2 linked regions of the Macaca fascicularis genome follow. The protein of the gene in region 1 interacts with the protein of each later gene in a pairwise test. Links are inferred from orthologs where the notes say so. Each region holds a gene or a part of one and is shown on either strand. Other genes may lie near its edges.

Region 1 (9,708 bases):
CTACATTTACCCATCTATATGATCATACATACATCATACACATATTCATCCACCCATCTAATACAAGCATGCACACGTACAATTATACATACATACACCATACACATGTACATCATGCCTACATTTACCCATCTATCTGATCACACATGCATACATCACACACATATACATCATACATACATTCCCTGGTCCATCTGATCATACATGCAAGTGTACATACATACATCATACACACATACGTCATACATGCATTAATGGAGCCATCTGATCATACATACATACACCATATACATATTCATCCACCCATCTAATACAAACATGCACACATACAGTTATACATACATACACCATACGCACATACATCATGCCTACATTTGCCCATCTACATGATCATACATACATCATACACATATTCATCCATCTAATACAAACACACACATGTACAATTATACATAAATACACCATACACAGATGCGTCATGCCTACATTTACCCATCTATCTGATCATACATACATACATCATATACATATACATCATATATACATTCCCTGGTCCATCTGATCATACATGCAAGTGTACATACATACATTATACACACATACATCATACATGCATTAATGGAGCCATCTGATCATACATACATACATCATACACATATTCATCCATCCATCTGATCATACAGATATACAATTATACATACATACATTGTACACACATACATCATACACACATACATCATACATATATACACATTAATCCATACATACGATCATACAAACACATATTTCATTTATCCATCTAATTATATATACATGCATACACTCATATATACATAAATAAACCCATCCATTCATCCAATCATGCATGCATGCATACATACATCATACCCTACAGGCATTCATCCATCCATCTAATACAAACATACACACATACAATTATACAGGCATGCACTATACATGCATGCATCATGCATACATTTATCCATCTATCTGATCATACATACTTCATACACGTATTCATCCATCTGGTCATATGAACATACAAATATCCAATTATAGGCACATACATTGTACACACATAACATCATACATAACTATGCACTAATCTAACCATACATACATACAATCACACAAACACACATATTTCATTTATCCTTCCAATCATACACATGTGTATATGCACATATACGTAACATCATACCTGCAGCATACAAACATACATGCATACAATTATACATACATACACCATACACACATACATTATGTAGACATCCATCTGATCATACATATATACCTCACACATGTATATGTTGTACAAACATTCACCAGTCCATCTGATCATACATACATCAGACATACACTTATCCATCTGATGATACATACAATTGTACATGTACATCATATGTAGATTCATCCATTCGTCTTATACATATAATTATATGTACATACATCATACACACATACATCATACACACATTAATGGATCTATCTAATCATACATACATCATATGAACATTCATCCATGCATCTGATTATACAAGCATACAAATATACAATTATACACACATACATCATACACACATACATCGTACACATATACACATACATCGTACACATATACACATTAATTTATCCAATCATACCTATGTCTAATCACACAAACACACACATTTTATTTATCTGTCCAATCACATACACCTGCATACACTCATATATACATAAATACACCAATCCAGCCGGACACGGTGGCTCACATCTGTAATCCCAGCACTTTGGGAGTCCGAAGCAGGTGGATCATGAGGTCAGGAGTTCGACACCAGCCTGACCAACATGGTGAAATCCTGTCTCTATTAAAATACAAAAATTAGCCCGGTATGGTGGTGCGTGCCTGTAATTCCAGCTACGCAGGAGGCTGAGGCAGGAGAATTGCTTGAAGCCAGGAGGCGGAGGTTGCAGTGAGCCGAGATTGTGCCATTCCAGCCTGGGCGACAGAGTGAGACTCTGTTTCAAATAAATAAATAAATACACCCATCCATCCATCCAATCATGCATGCATGCATGTAGACATACAATTGTACATGTGTACATACATCATGTATACATATATCATGTGTGCATACATTCGTCATCTATCTAATCATACCTACATGCATTCATACAAACACATATATATAAATGTATCCGTCCATCATACACACAGACACTCATAGATGCACATACATACACTCATCCGTGCTTCCAGTCATACATGCACACACACATATACAGTCACACATACACATTCATCTCTGCATCCACCCACCCATCCATCCATCCGTCTATTCAGTCAATGAACAAACATGCATTAACCATCTTCTGCTACTCTTGAGGGTCCATCAGTGGAATTGACATTCTAGTTGGGAGAGACAGAGTCTAAATAAACGGACTCTGAGATACCTTACATAAACTGTATGAACGTATGATCATATGAACATACAAATATACAATTATAGGCACATACATTGTACACACATAACATCATACATAGCTATGCACTAATGTATCTAATCATACATACATACAATCACATAAACACACATACTTCATTTATCCTTCCAATCATACACATGTGTGTAGGCACATATACGTAACATCATACCTGCAGCCTACAAACATATGCAACTGTATGGTATCTCAGAGGGCGATAGATACAAACACACGTAAACTGTATGGTATCTCAGAGGGCGACAGACACTGTGGAGGAAACGATTGAGCGGGATAGTGGGCAGCAGTAGAGTCAGGGTCTTGGGGAAATACTGCAATGTTAAATGCTGTGTTCAGCATGGGTCTCACTGATAGAAAAACAAAGACTCGAACAAGGGGCCTGCTGTGTGGTTATCTGGAAAATAAGGATTCCAGATAGAGGAAACTTAGTGCAAAGGCCCGAGGCAGGAGGGTGCTTGGCAGGCAGGTCAGTGCCCGGCGCGGCTGGAGAGGAGCGAGGGGCGATGAGAGCCTTAAGAGGCGGTCAGTGGTATGGTGGGGAGAGGAATTATTGTCTCCCTGATAACTTTGGCTGTCACTCTGTGATCGCTCCCTCCTCCCATCACTCTGAGTTCCAGGGAGGCCCCTGGAAGGTCACAGGAAGGGTCGGGAGGGGTCCAGGGACCCTCCACCCCACCTGAACCCTGGACTCGGGCAGATTGATCTTCAGAGCCACCTCCTCGCGGGCATAGACGTCTGGGTACTGGGTCTTGGCAAACAGTGCCTCCAGCTCCTCCAGTTGGCTCCGGGTGAAGGTGGTCCGCTCCCGCCGCTGCTTCCTGGGGGCGCCTGGGGTGGGAAGGGAAACAGGACCCTCAGGTCATCCACCATGGGCTGATGTGAGGCCCTGAGGCTGGGTGGGATGCCAAGAATTCCATCCCGGTTGCCATCTGCCTAAACTAAGGATGGAATGCACATTCCCTGCCCTTCTACGCCTTCCTCTGTGCCTGGCACTCTGTGAATCCTGCCTGACCCCAAGGGGAATTGGCTTTAACTCTATGAGGAGGTATGTGAGTCGTTTTCCCTCTTCTAAGCTTTCTCATGCACTAAGACATATTTAGTTGAAGCATGACATCGCTGACATTCAACCATTTCTAGCCTATAAAAGCAGCAAGTCTGGGCTGGGTGCGGTGGCTCACGCATGTAATCCCAGCACTTTGGGAGGCTGAGGCGGGCAGATCACAAAGTCAAGAGATCGAGAACCAGCCTGGCCAACATGGTGAACCCTTGTCTCTACTAAAAATACAAAAAATTAGCCGGGCGTGGTGGCTCCCAGCTACTCGGGAGGCTGAGGCAGGAGGATCGCTTGAACCCAGAAGGCAGAGGTTGCAGTGAGCTGAGATTACGCCACTGCACTCCAGCCTGGTGACAGAACGAGGTTCAGTCTCAAAAAAAAAAAGAAAGTAGCAAGTCCACACCGCTCAACGTAATGCAAAAAACAAAAACAAAAACAAGAGCTAAAGAATAATGCTACAAATAACTGAGTGCTCACTTCTCTTAAAAATAAGGCTTTATGAAAATTAGCTGGGCATGGTGGCATGTGCCTATAATCCCAGCTACTTGGGAGGCTGAGGCAGGAGAGTCACTTGAACCTGGGAGGCGGAAGTTGCAGTGAGCCAATATTGCACCATTGCACTCCAGCCTGGGCAGGAGTGAAAGTCCGTCTAAACTCCATCTCAAAATAAATAAATAAATAAATAAGGCTTTGCAGGCCAGGTGCAGTGGCTCATGCCTGTAAGCCCAACACTTTGGGAGGCTGAGTCAGGTGAATTATTTGAACCCAGGAGTTTGAGATCAGCCTGGGCAACATAGGGAGACCCAATCTCTACAAAAAAAAAAAAATTAATTTTTTCTATGTTTTGTATAATCCAGATCCTGCACAATCTACAAAAACTTTAAAAAGTTAGCCAGGCATGGTAGCGTGCACCTGTAATCCTAGCTATTTGGGAGGCCGAGGCAAGAGGATCGCTTGAGCCCAGGAGTTCAAGGCTGCAGTGAGCCATGATTGCACCATTGCACTTCAGAGTGGACAACAGAATGAGACCCTATCTCAAAAATAAAATAAAATAAACAAAGCTTTGCTGCCTAGGCACAATGGCTCACACCTGCAGTCCCAGCTACTCAGGATGCTAAGGTGGGAGGATCGCTTAAACCCAGGAGTTTGAGGCTGCAGTGAGCCGTGACCGTCACCACCGCACTCCAGCCTGGGCGACAGAGTGCGAGACCCTATCTCTGAAAAATAAATAAATAATAAAGTTTTGCTAACAGATGAAAATTCCTCTTGATTCCCCTTCCAAATTACATCTCCTCTTCCCCACCCCAAAAGGAACCTCTGTCCTGAATTTCTAGGACTGCACATGTTTTTCTAAGTGACATGCATTTCAGATGAACCCAGAGGGCTGGTATATGGCCCTGAAGTCGCCCCTGTGACTGCTTTTTTCCTGGGGCAGAGGGACCCCAGAGGTCCTCTAAGAGGTGAGGCCAGCCTGGGGTGCCGAGAGAAACGACTGTACTCACTTGGGTAGGGCACAGCCTGGTGCATCAGATCCACGCTGGGGCCACTTAGGGCCAAGGCGTTGACAGAATAGTGAGGCCCCGGGTTCATATACGCCATCATGATCTTCGGGGACGCTGAGGCCCAAGTCAGGGGGCCTGCAAGAGAAGAGGAGGGATGCTCACTCACTTACCAGTTACTCACCATGGGGTGACAAGCAGGCTGAGATTCAAATCCTGCCTTGGTCTCCTCTTAGGTACGTGACCTTGGCCATTTATCTCACCTCCGTACCTCTGTGTCCTCACGTGTAAAATGGCCTCTGCTTAAGGTTCTCAGAGCTTTCTTGAGACTCTGCAAAGCAGAGAGCTGAAGTGATGACGCGCCTCATAAGTGCGAGCTCTTATTCCTACTCTACCCTCTAAAACAATCTCATCCTGGCTGGGCACAATGTCTCACATCTGTAGTCCCAGCACTTTGGGAGGCCAAGGCGGGAGGATCACTTGAGCTCAGGAGTTTGAGACCAGCCTGGGCAATATAGCAAGACCCTGTCTCCAAAAAAAAAAAAAAAAAAGTGTTTTTTAAAAAGTTAACTGGGTGTGGTGATGCATGCCTGTAATCCCAGTTACCCAGGAGGCTGAGGTGGGAGGATCACTTGAGCCCAGGAGTTTAGGCCTGCAGTGACCTGTGTTCAGGCCACTGTACTCCAGCCTGGGTGACACAGCAAGACTCTAAGAAAAAAAAAAAACCAATCTGATCCCGTAACACTTCCTCATCCAAGATCCCTTCTTTCTGTGACCATGGGCAAACACGCTCAGCCTCACTTATAACCAAGGACTGCAGGTTGACCAGCCATCCCTCTTTGCCCAGAATGGAGGAGAGGTGGCTGTATCTTGGAACATAGGACTTTCAGGCTAGAACCAGAATGGTCCCAGCCAAACTGGATTGGTTGGTCACCCTAAGGGAGAGTGGCATTAAAAAAGGCCAGGCAAGGTGGCTCATGCCTGTAATCCCAGCACTTTGGGAGGCTGAGATGGGCGGATCACCTGAGGTCAGGAGTTCAAGACCAGCCTGACCAATGTGGTGAAATCCTGTCTGTATTAAAAATGCAAAAATTAGCCAGGCGTGGTGGCCCACGCCTGTAATCCCAGCTACTCGGGAGACTAAGGCAGGAGAATCGCTGGAACCCGGGAGGCGGAGGTTGCAGTGGGCCGAGATGGCACCACCGCCCTCCAGCCTGGGCAACAGAGCAAGACTCTGTCTCAAAACAAAACAAAACAGCAACAACAACAACAACAACAACAAACTACAGTAAGGACCAAGAAAGGCATCTCACACCTGCAATCCCAGCACTTTGGGAGGTCAAGGCAGGAGAATCACTTGAGCCCAGAAGTTCAAAACCAGCCTGGGCAACATAGTGAGACCCCCATCTCTGAAAAGAAAAAAAAAAAAAACAGTGAGTGTGGATCTTCCACGATCACTTTTGACCTATCAGATTGGCAAAGATGAAAGAGGTTGATAACTTCCGGCACTGGGGTCAGTGTGGGGAAAGACGCACTCCCATGGCAGGTAGGTAGCAAGCAGTACAGGTTGCAACAAACTTATCGAATTAAAATGCCATCTTTCTTTTCTCCTAGTAATTCACCTTCAATGTATACCTCAGTCGCCTTGTTGGAAAATGGGAATGAAAATCGCATTTATGGGCCAGGCGCAGTGGCTCACACCTGTAATCCCAGCACTTTGGAACACCAAGGCAGGCAGATCACTTGAGGTCAGGAGTTTGAGATTAGCCTGGTCAACATGGTGAAACCCCGTCTTTACTAAAAATACAAAAATTAGCCGGGCCTGGTGGTGCACGCCTATAATACCAGCTACTTGGGAGGCTGAGGCAGGAGAATCGCTTGAACCCAGGAGGCAGAGATTGTAGCGAGCCAAGATGGTGCCACCACAACCTAGCCTGGGCTACAGACTCCGTCTCAAAAAAAAGAAAAGAAAAAGAAAATAGCATTTATGTTCAGGTGGCAACATAGCGAAACTCTCCTGTCTCTACAAAAAATTAATTTTTTATTTTTAAAGTAAGCCTGGGCACAGTGGTTCACGCCTGTAATCTCAGCACTTTGGGAGGCCAAGGCGGGCGGATCACCGAAGGTCAGGAGCTCGAGACCAGCCTGGCCAACATGGTGAAACCCCGTCTCTACTGAAAATACAAAAAAAGCTGGGCGTGGTGGCACATGACTGTAATCCCAGCTACTCAGGAGGCTGAGGCAGGAGAATCACTTGAACCCGGGAGGCAAAAGTTGCAGTAAGCCAAGATCGCGCCACTGTACTCCAGCCTGGGTGACAGAGCAAGACTCTGTCTCAAAAAAAAAAAAAAAAAAAAAAAAAGCATAAGGCTGCTCTCTGAACTGATTTTAAAAGATCTCTAGTATACGGTTTTAACAAATTGTTCTAGGGGCCGGGCGCAGCGGCTCATGCCTCTAATCCCAGAATTTTGGGAGGCCAAGGTGGCCGGATCACCTGAGGTCGGGAGTTCGAGACTAACCTGGCCAACATGGTGAAACCCCGTCTCTACTAAAAATACAAAAATTAGCCGGGCATGGTGGCAGGTGTCTGCAATCCCAGCTACTCAGGAGGCTGAGGCAGGAGAATCGCTTGAGCCCAGGAGGCGGAAGTTGCAGTGAGCAGAGATCGTGCCACTGCACTCCAGCCTGGGGGACAAGAGTGAGACTTCATCTCAAAAAAAAAAAAAACAGGCCGGGCGCGGTGGCTCAAGCCTGTAATCCCAGCACTTTGGGAGGCCGAGACGGGTGGATCACGAGGTCAGGAGATCGAGACCATCCTGGCTAACACAGTGAAACCCCGTCTCTACTAAAAAATACAAAAAACTGTAGGGACATGGATGCAGCTGGAAACCATCATTCTTAGCAATCTATCACAAGAACAGAAAACCAAACACCGCATGTTCTCACTCATAGGTGGGAACTGAACAATGAGATCACTTGGACTCAGGAAGGGGAACATCACACACAGGGGCCTGTCATGGGGAGGGGGGAGGGGGGAGGGATTGCATTGGGAGTTATACCTGATGTAAATGACAAGTTGATGGGTGCAGCACACCAACATGGCACAAGTATACATATGTAACAAACCTGCACGTTATGCACATGTACCCTACAACTTAAAGTATAATAATAATAAATAAATTTTTAAAAAAAGAAAAATAATAAAAAAAACAAAAAAAAACAAAAAAAAAAAACAAAAAAAACAACAACAACAAAAAAGAAAACTGTTGGTACTACCTTCCCTGCTGTCTGACTAAGGAGCACATGGCAGGAAGTCACAAGAAAGACCAAGGAATAAAGCACAGATTAACATTTCAGGCTATCATCTCATTGCACTAAAGAAAAGTATGTAATTATTCTTGATACTTTATTTTAAAATAAGTATGCCTTTAAAATTATAAGATATTTTCCTTTAACTTACCATAAATGAGTGAAATGGAACATTTATTAATGATATATCAGTGAACAGCAAACCTATGCATGAACCGTCTGATCCATCTCTATTTGGGGGTTTTGTTTTGACATTTTAAGAGTCTTTATTAAAGTTAATGACATTAATTAAAAAAAAAAAAAAAAGAGTTCGAGACCAGCCTGGTCAACATGGCAAAACCCTGTCTCTACTAAAAATACAAAATTAGGCGGGCATGGTGGTGGGCGCCTGTAATCCCAGCTACTCCAGAGGCTGAGGCAGGAGAATCGCTTGAACCCGGGAGGCAGAGGTTGCAGTGAGCCGAGATCCCGCCATTGCACTCCAGCCTGGGCAACAAGAGCGAAACTCCATCTCAAAAAAAAAGTAATAATAATAACATAAATTTAAAAATAAAAATAAAATTAAAACATAAAAATTAGCCAGGCATGGTGGTGCATGCCTGTAATCCCAGCTACTTGGGAAGCTGAGGCAGGAGACCCTCTGGAACCTGGGAGGTGGAGTTTGCAGTGAGCCGAGATTGTGCCAGTGCACTCCAGCCTGGGTGGCAGAGTGAGACTCCATCTCAAAAATAATAAGTATTATCATTATTAATTAATTAATAAAATGAGGCATTGACTTTACTCATGTGTAGAATATACACTTGCATGTGCATAGAAAATTCCCAGGAAGGAAGCAAGCTACTGGTACCAGTGACTGCCTCTGGGAAGGAGTGCTAAAGCCATATCTTGTTTCTATAGTTTGGATTCCTTTTTAATTGTGCGTGTGTGCATTCATGTGTGTGTGTGGTTTTGTCAAAAGCAAAAACAACAATGAAATCTTCAAAAAAGCAAACAGAACATGAAACCCTCTGAGAGTTCCTCATTGCCCTCATTAGGATGGCCTCAGAAAACCTCTCAGCCTCCACAGCTATTTACATAAGCCGTTTCCTGGGCTAGGAACGCCTCTCCCCCACCCCAAAGCCCCTCTCACCAGCTAACCCCTTCTCCTCCAGGTCTCAGCTCAGCTACTTTCCCCAGAGAAACCAGCCTACGCCCCTGAACTGGATTTTACACACACACACACACACACACACACACACTCCCTACCTCCTTTTCTTCAAGACACAGCTTGTATTAAATGACATATTTACATGTTTGTTTATCTATCTCTCTCCCTCAAATTCTATCAGTTACCTGAGTTCAGGGACTGGGAATATCTCGGTT
Region 2 (9,808 bases), on another chromosome or scaffold:
CAGATCAAAAATACTCAGAAAAAAAAAATCGTTGCATTTGTACTGACCATGTAGAGACTTTTTTCTTATCACTCTATAAATACAATATAGCAACTATTTCCAAAGCATTTACATTGTAACAGATATTATAAATAATCGAGATGATTTAACATATACAGGAAGATGTGCATAGGTTATATGCAAATACTACGCCTTTTTATGTAAGACTTGAGCATCCAAGGTTTTTGGCATCTAAAGAGGGTCCTGGAACCAATTTCCCACAGATACCGAGGGACAACTGTCTTCATTTTCAGGGAAAAACTCAAACAGAGACAGAAACACAATTTTAGTAGTCACTGCATACCCACCCTTCCCAGCCTCTAGTTTTAATTTTTTTAAACAAAAATTTCAGCCTGAGCAAAAAAACACAACCATGTCTCTACAAAAAAATACCAAAAAAGAAAAAAATTAGCCAGGCATGGTGGTACATGCCTATGGTCCCAGCTACTTTGGAGGCTGAGGTGGGAGGATCACTTAAGCCAGGGAGGCGGAGGCTGCAGCAAACGAGACTCTGTCTCAAAAAAGAAAAAATTTAAAATTAAAAAAAACTTTAAAAGAGAGAAATGAAAAAAAAAATTTTAATTACAATCTGCCTCCTTAGGGCTCAAAAGTTTTAAGTAACTTGATAGCATTCAGATGAACGTAGTACAATGCAGTTTCAAACTTACAAAAAATTTGTTGTAAAATAATTTAAGAAGGGTCATGTCTGATGACTGTGAATCATCCAAACTTCTACCTCTTTCCAGAGAGGGACATTGTTTGTTTCTCCTTCAGAACAGAGATGATTAAAAAAAAAAAAAACAAAAAACAAACAACGAAAAAACAATAATCGGCTGGGTGCTGTAGCTCACGCCTGTAATCCCAGCACTCTAGGAGGCCGAGGAGGGCGGATCACTTGAGGTCAGCTGTTCGAGACCAGCCCTGCCAATATGGCAAAACCCATGTCTACTAAAAATAAAAAATAAAAAATTAGCCAGGCATGGTAGCGCATGCCTGAAGACCCAGCTACTAGGGAGGCTGAGGCAGAAGAACTGCTTGAACCCGCCGGGCACGGTCGCTCACGCCTGTAATCCCAGCACTTGGGGAGGCCGAGGTAGGCAAATCATGGGGTCAAGAGAGACCATCCTGGCCAACATGGTGAAACCCTATCTCTACCAAAAATACAAAAATTAGTTGGGCGTGGTGGCACGCGCCTGTAGTACCAGCTACTCGGGAGGCTAAAGCAGGAGGATCGCTTGAACCCAGGAGGTGGAGGTTGCAGTGAGCCCAGATCGCGCCACTGCACTCCAGCCTGGCAACAAAGAAAGACTCAGTCTCAAAAAAAAAAAAAAAAAAAAAAAAAAAAAGGACCTGCTTGATCCCAGGACACAGAGGTTTCTGAGATTGCGCCACTCTCTAGTCTGGGTGACAGAGAGAGACTCAGTCTCAAGCGGAAAAAAAATAAAACTAATAATCTACTGAAGTCAGTAGAGCGGGTCTTGCTCTGTCACCTGGCCTGGAATGCCATGGCAGAGTCACAACTCATTCCAGCTTTCACCTCCCATACTCAACCGAAACTCCTGCCTCAGCCTCCCGAGTAGCTGGGACTACAGGCGCGTGCCACCACATTGGGCCCAAGGCCAGGTTTTAAAAACTTGCATCTAAGTATTATTTACATAGGATTCCTTGTCTGCAATATATTCTACTCCAATATAAGTAGGTGGTTGATGAGTTCAAGCTTCCACGTTCACTAACTGTGTAAAAACTTAGGCAAGTTTAAATTCTCTGTGCCTTAGTTTCTTTTTTTTGAGACAGTCTCACTCTGTTGTCCAGGCTGGAATACAGTGGCACCATCTCAGCTCACTGCAACCTCTGCCTCCCAGGTTCAAGCGATTCTCCTACCTTAGCCTCCCATGTAGCTGGGATTACAGGTGTGTGCCACCACATCTGGCTAATTTTTGTATTTTTAGTAGAGATGGGGTTTCACCATGTTGGCCAGGCTGGTCTCAAACTCCTGACCTCAGGTGATCCGCCGCCCACCTCAGTCTTCCAAAGTGCTGGGATTACAGGCATAAGCCACTGTGCCTGGCTGCCTTAGTTTCCTTATCACTAAAATGGGGATACTAACACCTCATAGAGATATTGAGACTTAAGATGTACAGATATCTATATATACAAAAACATCAAACGTTCCTGACACAAAGTACAATACAAGTATGTACTACTACTGTTATTATTGTTATATTGCTATTATCTATTCTACTGATTCTAGTGGGATAGTTAAGCTGGAATCTCTCCAGAAAAATACACATTAGTAAACGGTATTGAACACAATTGCAGAGGACCCAGGGATCCCAGATTAATCCTGCCAAAGATGATCCACAAGCAACTTGGTTAGTAAAGCAGTTCTTAACCTGTTTTGTGACAAAGACCTCTTCAGTAGTCCAATTAATCTATGGATCCCTTCTCAGAGTTTTTTTAAATTTCTAAAATATATAGGATCACAAAGTAAACTAATTATATTGAAACACAGTTGTCAAAATATTTTAAAATGTCTAATATAGCAATACATTAAATAACAATATTTTTGACATATAGCAAGTAATGAGCATAAATATTTCAAGATATCTGCAAAAACTGTAATATATGTTAAAAAGTGATTTGTCTTGGTGACAAGGTCACAGACACTGTTGCTGCCATTAACATTTAAAGAATTTTCACTTCTTTTCCATTTAGATTTCAGTTAGAAACTAGTGAAAATAAACAATTTTTTTTCCCCAACCAAGCTCAGGTACTTACTTCCTCAATTCTATCCAAAAACCTAGATTCAGAACCTTTGACTTATGGGAAAGTGCAAAAATAATTTTGGAGCCAGAAATTTATGTTCTAGAAGCCAGACTTCAGACTTTAACCCCCACATTATTTACACTTGAATGACCTTAGATATCTAACTTCTGAGCTTTGGTTCTCTCACTGAGAATAATTCCTCTATCATGAGGTTACTGGGATCAAATACTAGTTAACAAAACATCAAATGACCAATATGTTGTTTTTCACTGATTTTAAAACCACATATTCAGCCCCAAATATTTAAAGACAGCTAATTTTCAATAAAACTCATATGAGAAAATGAAGAACGACATAGTGATTCACAAAGAAAATGATTAATGGAGATACAACTTTTAAATAATAGTTTGGCAGAGATATGGTAGAATTTGTCTAACCTGGGGAGTTGGACAGGCCTGAACTGCTAACATCCCGTCCATGATTTGACATCAGCAACACCTGGATCTAAATCCCAGTTACACTACTTTACTTTTACTAAGTAAAGTTACTTTAACTTCTGGGGCTCGGTTTTGTCATCTGTAGAATATTTTAAGTATTGCTTTAGAGACAGGAGAGGACCTAATTTAAACAATAAATGGGGCTGTTATTAAAACTTACATTTTAATAAAGCCAAAGGAATCAATTTGGAAGTCAAAAGTATATTGTGGAGCTCCCGTCAATATAAACTCCACAATCTTTCTTCCGCTCAGCAAAACACACACTTAAAACCTGTGGTATTTACATAGCATAACATTCCTAAAACAAAGTGGCCGGCAATGTCTTAAAATCCTATCTGATTTCTTATTCTGCCTAAGGAAAACAACAATGAGGATAGAAAACAGTAAACAGAATGAGTTCAGTAATTTTAAATCTTTTCATGATTTCCCCGGATGTTCCAATGAATGATTATTATTAATGTTAGATATACTCTAATGTAGCAGTCTTTTAAAACACTAAAGATGTCAAGCTTATCGGCGACACAATGTCAGTTAAACAGAAAAAAAACCCTAAAATCATTTATTTACTTTATGCTGGAACATTATGGATTAAGATTTTCCCACGGGGGGAGGGGGGAGGGATAGCATTAGGAGATATACCTAATGTAAATGACGAGTTAATGGGTGCAGCACACCAACATGGCACGTGTATACATATGTAACAAACCTGCACGTTGTGCACATGTACCCTAGAACTTAAAGTATAATTTTAAAAAAAAAGTCGAAAAATTAAAAAATAAAATAATAAAAATTTTCCCACAACCGGGAAAAAAAAAAATCTGCCATAGGCTGGCCCCGGCTCCTAGACCCATTATACAACCTGTAAATTCCTTCCCTCATTGAAAAGATTATTTTTATGGGCATAGTTAACAAACGCCAAGTTGCGAAGTTGCAGCTTTGCTGGTTTGACGTTTTCACAATGTAAGAACAATATGATCTGGAATCTACTCAAAGCATTAGCCAGGCAGTCAGCTGACGCTTACTGCACACAAGAGGACAGAATGAAGGGAAATTAAATTTCGTATTTCTGTAAGGCAGGTCTCCAACTCTATCTTGAAAACTAAATAGGCCAACAGCAGATGTTCTAGTTTAAGTAATAAAAGTATCTCATTGTTCAAGTAACATTACAAACACCGGCTTTTCCCGGAATAAGTTTCTCTCCTTCTTGGAATTTTCCTTGTAAAGGGCTTTTAATCGGTTCATAGAACCAACCCTTCATCACGCAGTTGCTGCTTGAGTAACTTTTACAAAAGGTCAAAGCGGTGCCTTTCAAGGCTTCCAAACCCTACTGGCTTCTCCTCGATTCAAAGTAACTCGCTTTCACCCACAGAACGTTCCAGAGACCTAGGGACGGGGCCCGGGCAGAATTTGGTGGAGGTTGCTCAAAGAACTTTTTCAATTTTCTTTTCAAAACACTTACCGCATTTCACCTTCCTCCATCCGTGGCCCCACATGTTGCTCGCCTCCCTCCCAGAGGGCCCCGCGAGGCCGCGCTCGGCCCCCGGAACGCGCCCACCTGATTACCCTCTCCTCTCAGACTCCGCCCCCGAACCCCCCAATGCCGTCTCCTTTAGGAGGTCCATATGGGACACTTTACCCCTCCTCTGAACCTCACGCCACACCAGACCAGCCCTCCGTTCTTCTCCTTCAATTCTTCTCCATTACGGGCATCACCTCCCATAGCTTCCTAGAGTGTTGTGAGCGCGCAGAGGGAAGCTGCAGGCCTGCTCGGCCCAGGTGCTGTGTCAGCCTATCTGCCGGTTCCGCGGCGTGTACGGCCCGGAAAGTCACATGGCGGTGGGACCGGCCGGCACCTCTACACTCCTGCTCTCCTAAGAGCAGGACGAGACTAGCAAATCCACTCACCTCCACGAAAAGCAACATGTCGTCCTCTGCTCGGCCCAATCGTTCCCGCCGCCGCAACTCCAACTGGCTCACAGGCCCGCGCCCCACTTGCTAGGATAAGGACACACACTCGCCTTGCCCCTCCACCCGGCAGTGGACCCGGCTCCTCCCCCGCCGTCAGCGGCTGCGGCCTGACCCGCCCAGTCCCACCTCCCTTGAAACAACAACTGCTTCCGGGTCTAGGGAAAAATTGTTTCCGGCAGAAAAGAGTCGTCGACGCGCTCAACTTTTGCACCATCTTTTCTAGCAACAGTGTGGGATGTACTATCATCTGTCGCGGGGGGGACGATTAGCAGGAGATGCCATTCTGGGGCACGGGGATGTGTAAAAATCTTAATGACACATTTTATCACTTGTCAGATAGCTACACAGCACTGATAATTCCGCAGTTTTCGTAGTTCACAATCTAGATTTGATTTTTAAAGCCGACCTTGGCGACGTGTGCTGAACAAACGTCCAACCCTGCCGAAAAGTGGTGGCTCACAGAAGAAAAGTAGACAAGAAAAAAAAAAGCTATAAAAAGCTATGATAGTAGTAAATACGTTAATAGCAGCTACTGTATATTAAATGCTTACATTGTGCTTGGCACTATACTGAGCATTTTATGTTAATTGATCTTAAAACAATTTTATGCAATAAATAATATTATTATCATCCCCATTTTACAGTTGAAGGAGCCCTCTAGGAGGTTGGGTTTCGCTTTGACACACCTTTAAAGAACTTTGCCCTGGGCTCATTTGAATTAGTTACCCATATCTCCACTTAATATACTAGTAACAACGCTTAATCTGTATAGTCTCTTCTTTGATATTCTGTCATTAATTCAAAAGAAATACAATAAAAACAAATTTTTTAAATTATCTATAATATTTGTTAGATGGTCCAAATTCCTTATCTTTAGCAATATGTCCCTCCCTTACCACTCCCACGTCTACGTCCTAGTTCAAACACTCATCTTTTGAAATAATCATGTATTGGCTGGGAGGGGTGGCTCACACCTACAATCCCAGCACTTTGGAAGGCTGAGGCGGACGGATCACTTGAGGTCAGGAGTTCAAGACCAGCCTGGCCAACATGGTAAAACCCCGTCTCTACTAAAAATACAAAAATTAGCCGGGTGTGATGGTGCACACCTGTAATCCCGGCTACTCCGGAGGCTGAGGCAGAATTGCTTGAACCCAGGAGGCAGAGATAACAGTGAACCGACATTGCGCCACTGCACTCCAGCCTGGGCAACTGAGTGAGACTCTGTCTCAAAAATAATAATCATTTGGTAATGAATAAAAATTGGCCGGGCGCCGTGGCTCATGCCTGTAATCCTAGCACTTTGGGAGGCCGAGGCGGGTGGATTGCCTTAGGTCAGGAGTTTGAGACCAGCCTGGGCAACACGGTGAAACCCCATCTCTAGTAAAATACAAAAAATCAGCCAGCCATGGCAGTGTGTGCCTGTAGTCCCAGCTACGTGGGAGGCTGAAGCAGGAGAATTGCTAGAACCCAGGAGGCAGAGGTTGCAGTGAGCCAAGATCACGGCACTGCACTCAAGCCTGGGTGACAGAGTGCGACTCTGTCTCTAAAAAATAATAATAATAAATAAATAAATATGAAATAATCATGTCTTGATCTTTTCCAATGGATTTTTCCATTATATTATTTTAAAAATCTTCCTCAAGTAAAGGTCTCATTTTCACCAAACCACTGTTAACTTGATTTCAAGACTTTGCCATTCTGATCTCATGAAATCTTCCTTGCTTTGCCGCAAATGGAATCTCCTCAGATACCACATTAATTCCACCACCAAATTGCTGATAGCTGTTATCTCAGACCCACCCTAATCTGGTTCTCGGTAAACTCCTGTTAGGTTATCTCAGTGATTAAACCAATCTCCTTACTTTCCCCCTGAGATGCAAACTCATTAGCACTCACCTCCAAAGCCATGGCTCAAGGTGTAGTCCCTATCTGGATTGCCTCCATTTGTCAATCAATCTTCTCTCTCCATAAGGTTTTCTCAAAGACTCTACTCCTATAGATCTCTTCCTCGTGTCCCTTATTAGCACTTGATTATTATATTCTATCTTAAATCTTTGCTTTTTCTTTTTTGTTTTAGTTTCTTTACAGGAACCCTATCATATATTCTTCAGTGTAGGATAATGTAAGCAGCATAGTGTTTCAACAAATGCTTGTCGAATAGAAAGGGAAGCAGGATTTAAAAATTGACTTTAAGAAGCCTTCGTGGTCGGGTGTGGTGGCTCATGCCTGTAATCCCAGCACTTTGGGAGGCTGAAGAGGGTAGATCACGAGGTCAGGAGATCAAGACGAGCCTGGCTAACACGGTGAAACTCCGTCTCTACTAAAAATACAAAAAATTAGCCAGGTGCCTGTAATCCCAGATACGCGGGAGGCTGAGGCAGGACAATGGCGTGAACCAGAGAAGCGGAGCTTGTAGTGAGCCTTGATCGTGATACTGCACTCCAGCCTGGGCAACAGAGTGAGATTCTGTCTCAAAGAAAAGCCTTCATGTCTAGTTGCTGATTGATGAATTCCATGCTGCATAAAAGATGCAAGTGAGAGAGAAAGCAATAATGCAAAATTAGTTTAGCTGACAACTAAACTTTGGGAGGCTGAGGTGAGTGGATCACTTGAGGAGTTTGAGACCAGCCTGGCCAACACAGTGAAACCCCATCTCTACCAAAAATATAAAAAATTAGCCAGGTATAGGCTGGGCACAGTGGCTCACGCCTGTAATCCCAGCACTTTGGGAGGCCGAGGCGGGCGGATCACAAGGTCAGGAGATCGAGACCATCCTGACTAACACGGTGAAACCCCATCTCTACTAAAAAATACAAAAAAAATTAGCCGAGCATAGTGGTGGGCACCTGTAGTCCCAGCTACTCGGGAGGCTGAGGCAGGAGAATGGCGTGAACCCAGGAGGCAGAGCTTGCAGTGAGCCGAGATTGCACCACTGCACTCCAGCCTGGGCCACAGGCGAGACTCCATCTCACATTAAAAAAAAAAAAAAATTAGCCAGGTGTGGTGGCGCACGCCTGTAATCCCAGCTACACAGAAGGCTGAGGTAGGAGAATCACTTGAACCTGGGAGGCAGAGGTTGCAGTGAGCTGAGATCGCGCTACTACACTCCAGCCTGGACAATAGAGTGAGACTCTGTCTCAAAAAAAAAAAAAAAGAAAGAAAGAAAGAAAAAATATATATATACACTTGTAATAAAACTATGTAAAAGTAGACTCAAATATGTAAAATTCATGATTGTCATTTCATCTGGAATGGGACAGTGGGGAAGGAAGGAACCAGGGGTTGGGAGACATCAAAGAGGACTTCGACCTTCTCTAATGCTTTTTTTAATTTAAAAAATATCTAAAGCAAATATTAAACAAAAATTAGCCAGGTGTGGTGGCGCGTGCCTGTAATTCCAGCTGAGGAATCTGAGAATCTGGGAGGTTGAGGCACAAGAATCTCTTGAACCTGGGAGGCAGAGGTTGCAGTGAACCGAGATCATGACACTGTGCTCCAGCCTGGGTAATAAAGTGAGACTCTGTCTCGAAAAAAAAAAAGTATAAAGAGTAAGCAGTGCAAAGAGTGTGATCCTCATCCAAATAATATCATCCAAGTTACTTCATCCAAATGATATCATCCAAGTTACTACATGTCTAGGAAAAGTTAAGGGGCAGCTGAGGAAGTAGTTGTAACCCTTATTCCATTACAGTGATATTTGACGCACCTAGATTTTTTTTTTTTTTTTTTCTGAGACAGTTTCACTCTTGTTGCCCAGGCTGGAGTGCAATGACACAATCTCGGCTCACCACAACCTCTGCCTCCCAGGTTCAAGTGATTCTCCTGCCTCAGCCTCCTGAGTAGCTGGGACTACAGGCATGTGCCACCTCGCCTGGCTGATTTTGTATTTTGTTTTTTAGTAGAGACAGGAGTTTCTCCATGTTGGTCAGGCTGGTCTCGAACTCCGACCTCTGGTGATCCGCCTGCCTCGGCCTCCCAAAGTGCTGGGATTACAGGCGTGAGCCACTGTGCCCAGCCAACATATCTAGATTTTAAGGTTATTTAAGCAGGGCTATATCTTCTATTTATTTTAGCATTTCTATTGTCTATTATTTCCTACCCTCCTTCCCCCCTTCACCCTTCTACCATGGCAGCATATAGAATGACCAGTTCTCTGCACATAGTAAGCACTCTTTACATGTTTGATCAATGATAATGTCACAATGGGTCTATTGTGACATCAACAGGACTGGAATATCATGGTAGCCACCAATTAGCAGCAGAGTATGCCACAACTTCTGGGAGCAGGAAAGACCTCTCCTAGCTTCCTACTGGATATCTTTATTAGCATTTTCGTAGATTCTGTGAAAAAGAAGAAATAAAAGGATATCACCCACATCTTCGAAATGTTTTTCAAAATGAAAAATGAGATAGACGATGACCCCGAATCAGAAAAATACATCAAGGATTCCACCATCATGAGAAGAGAGCCCCAAAATGTCCTTAGTCCTTTAGTGCTCCCTAACCTTGAGATCCCATTCTCAGTAAAGGATATC

The links.
Region 2: the proteins of CRX (region 1) and LARP4 interact in binary tests that used the Homo sapiens proteins (3 or more experiments, as listed by UniProt). The two-hybrid records come from large-scale screens. The link is inferred for Macaca fascicularis from reciprocal best matches to the Homo sapiens genes CRX and LARP4.

Annotation. Positions count from the first base shown.
Region 1 is NC_088393.1:55,838,020-55,847,727, reverse strand, and holds part of CRX (cone-rod homeobox protein), read right to left. Parts: intron 5,176-9,708; 5' UTR 5,141-5,175; coding exon 5,041-5,140; intron 3,313-5,040; coding exon 3,161-3,312; intron 1-3,160. UniProt on the Homo sapiens protein: Transcription factor that binds and transactivates the sequence 5'-TAATC[CA]-3' which is found upstream of several photoreceptor-specific genes, including the opsin genes.
Region 2 is NC_088385.1:57,240,525-57,250,332, reverse strand, and holds the start of LARP4 (la-related protein 4), read right to left. Parts: upstream 5,353-9,808; 5' UTR 5,226-5,352; coding exon 5,208-5,225; intron 4,834-5,207; exon of another isoform or gene 4,762-4,833; intron 1-4,761. Other genes in the region: protein FAM186A, read left to right, coding at 9,659-9,808. UniProt on the Homo sapiens protein: RNA binding protein that binds to the poly-A tract of mRNA molecules. Associates with the 40S ribosomal subunit and with polysomes. Plays a role in the regulation of mRNA translation.